Sus scrofa: one gene and its partners. Each later gene encodes a partner of the first gene's protein in a complex. Links are inferred from orthologs where the notes say so. Each region holds a gene or a part of one and is shown in the gene's direction. Other genes may lie near its edges.

The links.
Region 2: the proteins of DIAPH1 (region 1) and PPFIA3 are in contact, whole or in part, in a crystal structure (PDB 4UWX), measured with the Mus musculus proteins. The link is inferred for Sus scrofa from reciprocal best matches to the Homo sapiens genes DIAPH1 and PPFIA3. Residues at the interface, in NP_031884.1 of Mus musculus: Lys252, Ser255, Ala256, Ile259, Gln307, Asn310, Ala311, Thr314, Pro315, Ala316, Glu317, Arg322, Gln352, Cys354, Val355, Glu358, Gln359, Glu362; in NP_084017.2 of Mus musculus: Pro719, Arg720, Arg723, Leu724, Arg726, Met727, Ala728, Ala730, Leu731.
Region 3: the proteins of DIAPH1 (region 1) and PFN2 are in contact, whole or in part, in a crystal structure (PDB 2V8F), measured with the Mus musculus proteins. The link is inferred for Sus scrofa from reciprocal best matches to the Homo sapiens genes DIAPH1 and PFN2. Residues at the interface, in NP_031884.1 of Mus musculus: Ile635, Pro636, Pro637, Pro638, Pro639, Pro640, Leu641; in NP_062283.1 of Mus musculus: Ala2, Gly3, Trp4, Ser6, Tyr7, Asn10, Ala28, Tyr30, Trp32, Arg108, Met131, Tyr134, Leu135, Ser138, Phe140.

What each region holds. Positions count from the first base shown.
Region 1 is NC_010444.4:143,159,561-143,163,113, reverse strand, and holds the end of DIAPH1 (protein diaphanous homolog 1), read left to right. Parts: intron 1-2,787; coding exon 2,788-2,933; 3' UTR 2,934-3,029; downstream 3,030-3,553. UniProt on the Homo sapiens protein: Actin nucleation and elongation factor required for the assembly of F-actin structures, such as actin cables and stress fibers. Binds to the barbed end of the actin filament and slows down actin polymerization and depolymerization.
Region 2 is NC_010448.4:54,330,878-54,334,452, forward strand, and holds part of PPFIA3 (liprin-alpha-3), read left to right. Parts: intron 1-632; coding exon 633-726; intron 727-1,090; coding exon 1,091-1,172; intron 1,173-1,605; coding exon 1,606-1,806; intron 1,807-2,187; coding exon 2,188-2,250; intron 2,251-2,411; coding exon 2,412-2,438; intron 2,439-3,449; coding exon 3,450-3,575. UniProt on the Homo sapiens protein: May regulate the disassembly of focal adhesions. May localize receptor-like tyrosine phosphatases type 2A at specific sites on the plasma membrane, possibly regulating their interaction with the extracellular environment and their association with substrates.
Region 3 is NC_010455.5:90,183,087-90,187,224, reverse strand, and holds the start of PFN2 (profilin-2), read left to right. Parts: upstream 1-1,246; 5' UTR 1,247-3,788; coding exon 3,789-3,920; intron 3,921-4,138. UniProt on the Homo sapiens protein: Binds to actin and affects the structure of the cytoskeleton. At high concentrations, profilin prevents the polymerization of actin, whereas it enhances it at low concentrations. By binding to PIP2, it inhibits the formation of IP3 and DG.

The sequences.
Region 1 (3,553 bases):
TTGGTCCACAGAGTTTCCCAGTGACCACCGGTCTGGAGAGGAGGGTTCCTGGGCCAGTGCCATTTCCCCTCGACCTCTGTCCAAGTCGGATAGGAGTTAGACTGAGGAGAGCTGCAGGCAATCACGAGTTTTTCAGGATTGTAACGGCGCCCGGTCTGCCCTAGTTCCCTCTTCCCTAAGGAAGCTTATTAACAAGAGCGCTTCCGGTTTAGTAGCAGTAGTTCCGAGCCTGTGTTTTATGAATAGCTTCGTCCGAATCGTTTGCCTTTTTCTGATGCAGCTAGCGTGAATGCCTGCTTTTTGTCTTACCTCACCCCTCCCGTCTAGGAACCTGGCCTCGGAGAGCTTGGAGCAGTGGCTCAGGATCAAGCTCTTCCCCACCGGCTGCGGGCCTCCTAGGAGTGAATAACCCGCCCAGGGCCCGTACGGTCCCAAGGTGTATCTGCTGCTGTGGCTACTTTCCAGTCGTCTTAGAAAGTACCCAAGTGAGGAAGAAGCTCTGAGAGGTCATTTTCTGGCTAGTCGAGCTGTTGAGGGCAACTGTGACCCTGAAGCCAGAGTGGCAGCCACAGTTGTTCAGTTCTGTTCGCAGTTCCAACAAAAGCCTCTCTCCCCGATGCCGACCTTAGGCCACGTCGGGTCCATCCGCAGTGCGCCTGCTTTCTAGGCTTAACGAGGAAACCTGGGGAGTTCCCTTCGTGGCTCAGCCGTTAATGAACCTGACTAGTGTCCATGAGGATGCGGGTTCGATCCCTGGCCTCACTCAGTGGGTTAAGGATCCGGCATCGCCATGAGCTGTGCTGTAGGTCGCAGGCGCGGCTTGGATCTGGCGAGGCTATGGCTGTGGTGGTGGCTACAGCTCCAATTTGACGCCTAGCCTGAGAACCTCCGTGTGCCACAAGTGTGGGCCCTAAAAAGACAAAAGAGAGGTTTTGGTCTTTCCCAACTTCCCCTCATCCACTCTCCGTTCTTAGGAAGTCTGTAATGCATCAGAAGCGTTTTCGATCTAGAAGAAGGTTGAGACGGGCTTGCTTAGGTTCGGCTGGTGCCTTCTTCGAGGAGGAGACCCAAGAGAGAAGCAGCCGGAGGCCGTCCACACTCGAGCTCTGACTCTGCCCGTGTCCTGGAGACCGTAGCTCCTTCCCGGGTCAGAGTCGGATGCTACCTCACACGCACACAGTTAGAGCCTTCTCGCTGCTGCTGGTGACTGAAATCCCAGGAGCAGCCGCGCGTTCATCAAGCCCCTGCCTTTGCGGACTTGGGAGGTGGGGCGGTGGAGACGGAGGGAGGATTTCTAACCGGAGCAGCCACTCGGCAGGTCTGAGGAAGGGCTCGCTGCGTGTAGGAAACCGTCCTGGTCCCCAGGGGCCCCTTGGCCTCCCAGGCCTTTCAGCCCCTGAGGCCGTCTTCCACCTTCGTGTGAAACCCCTGCCCTGCCCTGCTCTGGGTCACCGTCACCGTCACAGTCACCCACAGTCACGCCTTCCCCGGGCCTCCGTTCTGCGCAGGCGGCAGGCAGGCCCTCTGTCTCGGGTCTCTGCTGCTCGAAGGTTTGGGCCCTGCTTCCCCACCCGCTTTAAATTGAGACACAAATCAGCGTGTAACATTCCCCCTTTTAAAGTGTACGGTTGTTTTTAGCATATTCACAAGATTCTGCGGCCGCCACCCCTGATTCCAGAACGTTCCCTCACCCCAAAAGAAACCCCCATACCCAGGAGCAGCCGTAGCGGTCACTCCGCATTCTGGCCTCCCCCACCCCCGGCACCCACAGCCCTGCTGGGTCGCCACGCTTCGCTCATCCCAGACACCTCGCACGACTGGAAGTGGGACGTCCGTAGCCTCGGGGTCTGGCTTCTTGCACCCAGGCGGGCAGCCCTTGGGCCCTGCAGCCTCGAGGCTGCTTGTGGGGTGGAGGCAGAGGCCGGGGGCCCAAGAGGGCCAGGTCCCAACGACCAGGCTTCTTGTGGAGGATGCTGGGCCACAAACCTGGATTCCGCGCGTGTATTTGCGGGTCCTGGGGACAGCTCCCCGCAGCTGGGACAGAAGCTCATGGGTTGGTGGCTTTTCGCTTCCCATGTGGGTGGAAGTGAGAAAGGCGGCCGAAGCTTCGCAATCTCTTCGCCCGCTGCAGGTGTCCAACGGGCCGTCCTTGACCCCGGCTCTGCCTAAGCCTGTCCCCCTTTCCCTCCCCCTCCCTCACACTCACGCACACCTTGTAGGGCCCTTGGCATTTGGTCCCTGGCAGAGGTGGGAAAGCGCCTGGCTGCCCACGGGCTGGGCAGCGGCCGGGGCAGCATCTTCCCAGGTCAGCGCAGGGCTGCTGCTCCTCTTTGCGGGAGTCTCTCTGGCCGCCCGCTGCAGGCCCTCCGCTTGGGACCCCCCTGCCCCAGGCTGAAGGAAAGCTCCTGGGAGCTTCCTGGCAACTGCCAAGAAAACCTAAGAAAATACTGTTGACCACGCTGGCGTGTGTTTAGGTCCAGACGCCTCTGCTGAGAACAGACTCGAGGACTTGCTGGCTCTGTGCTTTACACTTGCTGATGCTCGGACCCCGTTCTGGCTGGGCCCCCTTCACACCAGGAAGGAGCAAGGCCGCTGTGCCCCTGCGCCCTCCCCTGCTGTCCCCTGCCCACCCCCCCCCCCAGGACTCTGCCCCGGGTTCCTGGCTCTCCTCCCCTCCTGCAAAACAAAGGCCTCTGAGCTGGACCCGTGCGCGGCTGCTGGCCGCGTGTCTGGGAGGAATGGCGCGGCGGCCGCTGAGGACCCGCTGTCTCCTGTCTTCTCTTGCAGCCAACAAGAAGGTCGCCTGTGCAGTCACCTTGGAGGGGCTCAAGGACGACGCCCTGGCCTCCGTTCCTGCCAAGATATCCCGGAAGAGCGAGCAGGTGCCCACCATCCTGGAGGAGCCCAAGGAGCTGCTCGGCCGTGCGAGCTAAGCCAGGTCTCGGGGCCACGGCCGCTCCTGCGCGGAGCCCCAGACTGTCCCGCCCGGCAGCGCGGGCCTGAGGGTCCCGGAGCTGCTCCTCGCGGCGGCGGCCGCCCGCGTCACCCCGCCTCCACCGCTCTGCGGCCTGCCGCCCTCTGTCCCTCGCGCCCGGCCTCCGAGCGCGCCGAGGGGAGGCCCGGGGCGCGCGCCCCGGCTCTCGTCCAACCAAAGCCGGCTCCGCGTCCGCCGCCTTAAGCCCCAGTGTCGCCCCTGGTCTCCGCGCCGTCTCTCCGCCAGGGGCACCTGCTTTCTCGGCGCCCGCTTTCCAGGGGGCTCCGGCCTGCGCCCGTCTCGCCAGCCCGTGCTCTGAGAGCAGCACGGGGCTGAGACGCCTTTGGGCTCGGTTCCCCCCACTGCTGTCACCCCGGCTCTGCTCCTCCCGCCCCGGGCTCCTGTCCTTCATTGCTGGCGGCCTGGCATCGGGAGCTACTTCCACGGAAGTGGGTAGCGATCCCTTCCCCCACCTTTTGGGAAAGACCTCCCCCACAGAAAAGGCCTAGGCCACTTGATCTGTGCCCTGGGGCCTGGGCCAGAGCCCCACTGAGGGCGGGCAGGCGGGGCCAGCCCCGG
Region 2 (3,575 bases), on another chromosome or scaffold:
CTGGATCCAAGCCGCGTCTGCCACCTACACCACAGCCCATGTCTGTGCCAGATCCTTAACCCACTGAGTGAGGCCAAGGATCAAACCTACATCCTCATGGATGCTAGTCAGATTCATTAATTGCTGAGCCACAATGGGAACTCCCTATTTTTTTTTAAAATAGAGAGGGAGGAGCATCCTAAAGACAGGGCCCCCGATATTCCTAGCGCCTGCTTGTCTGGCTTGTGAAATCCAAGTTAGTTATATTTTTAGGCATTTTATCAGCTGCTTTGACATCCCATTGGTAGCTTGATATTGGTGGGGTAATTTACACCACGGAAATTGGCAAATGCTACAAATCAGGAAATGCTCCCTGCTTCCCCAGGGAGCCAGTCGTCGTCTACCAGCACACCATGGCCAGCTTACCAAGGCCAGCCCAGTGAACCCAGCCCCATTTTGGGGGTTTCTCCAATTCCTTGCCCAGGAGGTGTCATTGGTCCTTGTCTGTTTTATCATCCCCTCCGTGTGGCCTCATCTGCGAATCCCTCCAGGCCTCTGCTTCCCTGGCATCCTCCCTCCCTCCCCCACCCCTGGCATCAAAGATTCTGACTCCCCTTTGGACTCTCCAAATTTTGGCTCCTCCCTGCCTCCAGCTGGAACGCCCTCAGATGAGACCTTGGCAGCTGATCCTCTGGGACTAGCCAAGCTGACAGGCCCAGGAGACAAGGATCGAAGGAACAAGAGGAAGTGAGTGAGTGTGAGTGTGTGTGTGTGTGTGTGTGTGTGTGTGTGTGTGTGGAGGGTTGGTGCTCATATGTGAGAAGAAAATTCCGGGATGGGGAGAGAGTCTGGGCTCCTCAACTTGCTTGGCAACTTGGGAACTCCTAGAGCTTTCCTTCTTTCTTCTTCCTTTTTTTCTCTTTTCTCTTGATTGGTGCGGGGAGCGGGGAGGATCTCAGAGGTTCCTGTGTAATTTTTTTGAACCTTTTGCTATGTTTTCTACATTCATAAAGTGCCTTTGTGTGTGTGGGGGGGGTTGCTAAAGGGGGCCACCCAAGAGGGCTGGGTGTCTCTACCCCTGAGAGCTCCTGCCCTGGCCCCCTTTCCCCAGGCATGAACTTCTGGAAGAGGCCTGCCGCCAGGGCCTGCCTTTTGCTGCCTGGGATGGGCCCACTGTGGTCTCCTGGCTGGAGGTACTGAAGCCCAGAACCATCCTGACTGTTGAGCCCCCGCCCTTTTGAGGATGACACCATTAGGGATGATGGAACCCGCCAAACACCCCAGAGGTGGGGGAGGGGGAGGGTAAGGTCCCCGGAGGGGTCAGGCTTCTTGTCCATCCTCCCGTTGCTCTTTTCCCTTCTCCCCTCGCCCGTGTCTTTCTGGCCATTGTCCACCTCGGTCCTGATGTCGCTGTCTCTTCGTGTTTTCCCATGTTTCTCTCTGGGATCCTCCGTCTCTATTTTTCTGCCTCTCTTCCCATCTCTGTGTGTGTTTTTTGTTTTTTTTTTTATTCCCCTTCTTTTGGGTCTCCCCATGTCCCTCTCTCAATGTCTTTTGCTCCGTTCACTCCCCATCTCTCTCGCACCTCTGTGTGTCTCCCCTCATCTCTGCCTCTCTCTGGTCCAGCTCTGGGTAGGCATGCCTGCGTGGTATGTGGCTGCCTGCCGGGCCAATGTCAAGAGTGGTGCCATCATGGCCAACCTGTCAGACACGGAGATCCAGCGTGAGATCGGCATCAGCAACCCACTGCACCGGCTCAAGCTGCGCCTCGCCATCCAGGAGATGGTCTCACTCACCTCACCCTCCGCTCCTGCCTCCTCCCGCACGGTGAGTGTCCAGGAGCCAATCGCAGCCCTTTCTGCCCCAGGGCTCCGCCTACTGTCCTCAGAATAGCCAATCATGGGCCTGCTCACCTCCAGGTCCATCTGGTCGACCCAGCTCCGCAGTCTCTTAACTGGATAATCCCTGCAGTGGGGTCTCCTTGCCTCCCCTCTATTCCCAACCCTCAGTCTTTCTTACGCAGGAGGCAGACTCTTCTCCATCCTTATTTCCCATGGCATTTACTGCCTTTTAATATTTTATCATTTTATTCCGCATAGAAATGTATGTGTTCCCAGGCCTGATTCGTCTCCTCCAGGAGCACGACCTCCTTCCCCTCTCTGGTCCAGAAGCCCTCTCTCAATCTCCCTAACACCCCTCGCCCTTCAGTCCACAGGGAACGTGTGGATGACACACGAAGAGATGGAGTCCCTGACGGCGACGACCAAGCCTGTGAGTGCCCCCTGCCGGCGGCCCTGGGGGTGGCACTAACTTTCCCTCGGGAGGAGTGGGAGGGAGTCTGTGGCTGTCTGTCCGTCTGTTCGTCCCTCCCACCCTCCTCCGCCTGCTCCTTAACCCACCCCTTCTCTCCCCTCTTCCCACTAACTGGTCAGGAGACCAAGGAGATCAGCTGGGAGCAGGTAGGGGGCGCGGGGCGGGGCGTGGGCGCATGAACAGGCTGTGCACGCTGCATGGACGCCCCTCCTTCTCCGAGCCCCGCCCCCACCCTCGCCGGATTATTCCATCACCACCGCGGGGCGGGGGGAGGGCTGCGCGGAGCTCCGCTCTGGCCTGTCCTTGTGGCTTCATGGGGTCGGTGCAGAAGCCCGACTGCTCCATTGATAGTGGTGCACGGGTCATTCCATTATGGTGGGTTGCGGGGCTCCAGGGGCTGTTTCAGGCTCTGGGCAAAAGAGAAAGCATTTGGGGAGGGGACGGCCCGTCAGGCTGAGAAGTTGGGGAAAAGGAGCTACATTTTGTTCTCAAGAGGGGAGAGGTGTGAACTAACCTGAGGTAGAAGAGCTACGTCGGGTCTTTGTTTCCATTAGGGGAGGGTCTGGGTTATTTCCTTATGTTTAGAGGCGTAAAGGGCTTAGTGTTGACCCAGAATATCGTCCTGGGTCAGGTAGACAATTAGCCTAGTATTTTCGGGACAGTGCAGAGTGGTGGATAGCCACGCTATCCTTTGTTGGGGAGAGAGCTCTGTTGGAAGAATCCGTTGTCCTGACTTGGAGTAGTGGTGTTGGGTGGATCCACTGTTCCGAGTTGGGACAATGCTAGACTAGTGCTTCTTAAACTTTAACATGCATCTCAGAGCACCTGAGAATCCTGTGAGAATACAGAATTTTCGATTCAGTAGCCTAGAATTGAGTAGCTAGAATTGAGATCCTGCAATTCCAGCAAGTTCCCAAGAGATAGTGATGCTGTGGGTCCAAGGACCACACTTTCCAGTAGACAAGGGTCTATGCTGTCGTTATGAAGGAGAAAGAGACAATTCTGGATTGTCCACTGTCCTGAGCGGCGATTGGCCATTGTCCTGCTATGGAATGGAGAAAGAACAACCTTGGATGGGGGGGTGAATGTACCCTTTCATACATCCCTGGGAAGGGGTCAGAGGCCCTGACCCCTCCCCCACCTGCCCGTGGCCCCAGATCCTGGCATATGGCGACATGAACCACGAGTGGGTGGGAAACGACTGGCTGCCCAGCCTGGGGCTGCCCCAGTACCGCAGCTACTTCATGGAGTCGCTGGTGGATGCCCGCATGTTAGATCACCTT
Region 3 (4,138 bases), on another chromosome or scaffold:
ACCATCCATAAAGGCACAGGAGCAATGATGAAAATCAGAATGAATGAAATAATATCTTCAAGGTGTCGGTCTTACACTGTAAATCCAATCTATTTTTTTTTAAGTGAAAGTAATATAAAGACATTTTTAGATAAAACCAGCAAGTTTGCCATCAAAAGACCTCCACTAAAAGAACTTCTAAATATTTACTTTAGCAAGAAAAAAATGATCATAGAATGATGGTCTGAGATATGAAATGGTGAGTAAAATAGGAAATGTATAAATACATGTGTGTAAACATCTCTGTAAAATAATAGTCTGCAGAGGTGTGACCAGACTTAAAGTGTTCTAAGGTCCTCAGATTGTCTGATTAGGGGGTTTAAGATATTATTTAATTTAAAGCTTTGTTCTACTAAATATGCATGGTAAAATTTCCAGGGTAACACCAAAAGAATAGAAATTGAACATATAAAATTCCACATGAATGAAAAATTAAAGGACAGATTGCATACTAGACAAAAACATTTTTAAAAAATGAAGTTGAAAGTCCTAATTTCAGTTAATTAAAGGTTTGAAGTGGTCTTAATTAGTGTTTTACTGTTTCTCCATAGTTTCAGTTCCTACCCCAGTGTTTATCAGGTTGATTACATCTTCACAATCAGAACTTCTTGTTTCTTGGTATTTTGCTAAAATGGTGTGCACATGGACTTAAATGGGCTCAGCCACTCCTTGACTGATACATTGAAGAATCTGGCTTAACACATAGTTACTGTTTTCCTAAATAAGAATAAAATATTTTTTGAAAGAATGCATAATAATGCATTCCACATCTAAATAAGCTATGATTATTATTAGCTACATCTGGATATCTGTATCAACAACAGAGTTTTGACTTTTGTCTACTTCTGCCCAGACATCACTATTATCACTGCAGGGATCAATTACCCTGAAAAACGGGAGAGAGAGATACAAATTAGTACATTTTCTCATACTGATACTCTCTGGGACTTAAGTTACTTATACTGCTAATCCTAAAACTCACTTCTACTTATACCTTTTGAAACACTTTGTGGTTAGCAATATTATATGAAATAGAGACAGATCATTGCATACAAACAGAAAATGAGGCAGCGTGGGCCTAAGCTGGCTGTAAAGAAAACAGGCACAGGATTCTTTTACTATAGTACTGAAAAGAGACAGACAGTAGAACTTCTTTGAATATATCATCTCAAAATGTAAACTGTAAAACCCAGTTAGTCTTTAACACAGATTTATTTTTCATTGTTGTTTAAAATTTACTGTATAACAAATAAAATTTATTGTATGCAATTGTGGAAAAGAACACTGTTGGAAAAGTGGAACAATAATTTAAAAATGTTATATTTTGAAAAATGATTATAGGAGCTCTAAACTCTAATGTTGGAGTTCCCATCATGGTACAGCGGAAACAAATCCAACTAGGAACCATGAGGATGAGGATTCGATACCTGGCCTCGCTCAGTGGGTTAAGGATCCAGCGTTGCCGTGAGCTGTGGTCTAGGTCGCAGTGGAGCTCAGATCCGGCGTGGCTGTGGCTGTGGCGTAGGCTGGCGGCAACAGCTTCAATTAGTCCCCTAGCCTGGGAACCTCCATATGCCATGAGGGCATCCCTAAGAAGAGACAAAAAAGCAAAAAAAAAAAAAAAAAAAAAAAAAATTCTTATGTTTTACCCAGTGTTGTTGTTTTACCCAGTGTGTTTTAGAATGTTTTGAGATTTGAATATCCAGAACATCCAATTAGTGTAATCCTTTTGCTGTTTAAAGATAACAGTAAAAGAAACAATGGAATGCAGTTATTTGCATCTCTTTGCTATAGTCTAAAAATTAAATCCTAAAAACTTCAGAGTAGATTAATAAAAGTCAATTTCAAACTATCATCGTTTTTCTTTTCTCTCATTACCTTTACTATTTAAATTTATTGAATTATATGATGTGTACAAAGCACAAATCATAAGTGTGGAGCTTGACAAATTCTTACTATGACAATATTGTGTTATCAGCACACTGCTATTAACTTTTAAGTTGATAAACTGGTAATATTGAAGGATTAAAATCATCAACGACCACCACAAAAAAGTAGTAAACAAGAATGAGAGTGTAAATCAAGTGAGAGGCACACTTGCAAACACGGAACAATTTTTGACACATTTTAAAACAAATTTTCTGTAACATAAGAATATGAGAGAATTCATTGTCTCAATCTGAATGGAACCTCACTTGGGGGTTCTCTTACTGTGCTTCCCTTTCTGCAGGAGTTGTACCTTTCAAAGCAAACAGTAGGAAAAAAAAATACAAGCTTCAGAACCAATTAGATTGCTTAGCAACATTCGTCTTCTTAGTTACACCTGTTTAATCCTCCTGTCACAAGTTGTGACCTTACAGGATAATTTTATAAAGTTGAAAATCAACTTTTCAACGTTTTTAGACGCTCTTTCGCTGGTTTACAGGTCGTTTTGCTCATTTAAAATTGAAGTTGTGTAGGAAGTCTCCTAATTACTCTTCTAGTCATAGCGCCCAGAGGTTAATAAAGACCATTTGAGATTCTCAGAGACTCTACCCATGATTTCCCTTGTAAATAAAAGTCATTATCACATCTGGGTCCTGAAATTATTTTACCCGTCGAGAACGGAAATATGACCTGTTCATCCAGTAAACCCTTTCTTAGATTTTAAAGCTCTTTGCAACTCAGGGATGTCTTCGACCCATTAGTAACTTTCCCTGTTACCAACCAATAATTTACATAGGTTGCTATTTGTTTTGTTCGGAATTTACAAGCAATTCAGCCACACATGATTAGCAAAATTAAGAGGGTACTTTTTGTCAAAGAATCTACAGAATGAGAGACACCTGATACCCAAATTAGAAACGACGAAAGATCGTCAAAGCTCAGAAATGTTCCTCAAAGCCAGGAACATCCGCTCTGATTTCAGGTTGTCCGAGCGCGGCCGCTTGGCAGACTTAATGGCTGAGAGGCAGAGGAGTCCAGGGAAGAGGGTCCCTCTGGGGACACCTAACATAAGCGTGGGCGACCCGGCCACCAGCGGCCCCCATCACAAAGAGGAATAAACGCTCCGCATCCCGTCACCAGGGCAACTCTGAAATCCGACACCAAGGTTCAAGATTCCGCATCTCCGAGCCTCCGGACGCAGAACAGAGGCATTTCACGGTCCAATATCGGAGACTCCGAGGCGTCCCACACGCTGCTGTCTCTGAGGTGCTGACTGCCACGGAGGAGACGCCCTCTCCCCAGGCTCGGGGTCCTAGGCTTACACACCCGCAACGATCCCGGAAAACCCAGACCTTGCCGGTAGCACGTGGCAGCCGTGATTGTCCCGACGGTATCCCTCCGCGCCCCCCTCAGCCTCCCCCTCCCTTCCTGGGACCCTCCGAGTCAGGACGCCGCGGAAGGATCGCACGCACGTGCGCGCGCACGCCCCGCCGGGACCGCGGAGTGCTTAGGGAGCCGCGGTGAGAAGCAGTCTACGCTGCCGCCGGCACAGCAGCTCCGCAGCATCGTGCCGCTGGTTAGTTAGCCCCGCAGTTGCGGGCGGGCGGCCGGGTAGGGCGCGCTCCGCGGCTTGTCCCTCATCGCCGTCCCCGCGTCCTCCCTCCGCAGCTCCTCGGGGAGGGGGGCGGTCGGTGCCTGCGCAGAGCCGCCTCCTCCCCGCCCCCGCCCCGCCTCCCCCCGCGCCGCCGCCTGCGACCGCCGCCGCCGCCGCCGCTGCGCCTGCTGCTCCTCGCCGTCCCCGCTGCAGTGCGAAGGGCTCGAAGATGGCCGGTTGGCAGAGCTACGTGGATAACCTGATGTGCGATGGCTGCTGCCAGGAAGCCGCCATTGTCGGCTACTGCGACGCCAAATACGTCTGGGCAGCCACAGCTGGGGGCGTCTTCCAGAGCATTACGGTGAGGACCAGCGGCGGCCCGCGTTCCCATCCCCGGACCCGAAGGGGCCGGCCCTGGGGGCCGTAGCGCGGGGCCGAGCCATCGGGAGGGCCGCGCCGGCAGGTGTGCGAGGCGGCGGGTGCTGAGGATGCGGCTGCCGGGCGGGCTGAGAGGCCGAGGCCCGGGGACGCCCCCTCGCCTGGGCTGCACTGACAGGCGGGGGCGGCGGCCCGGCGTGC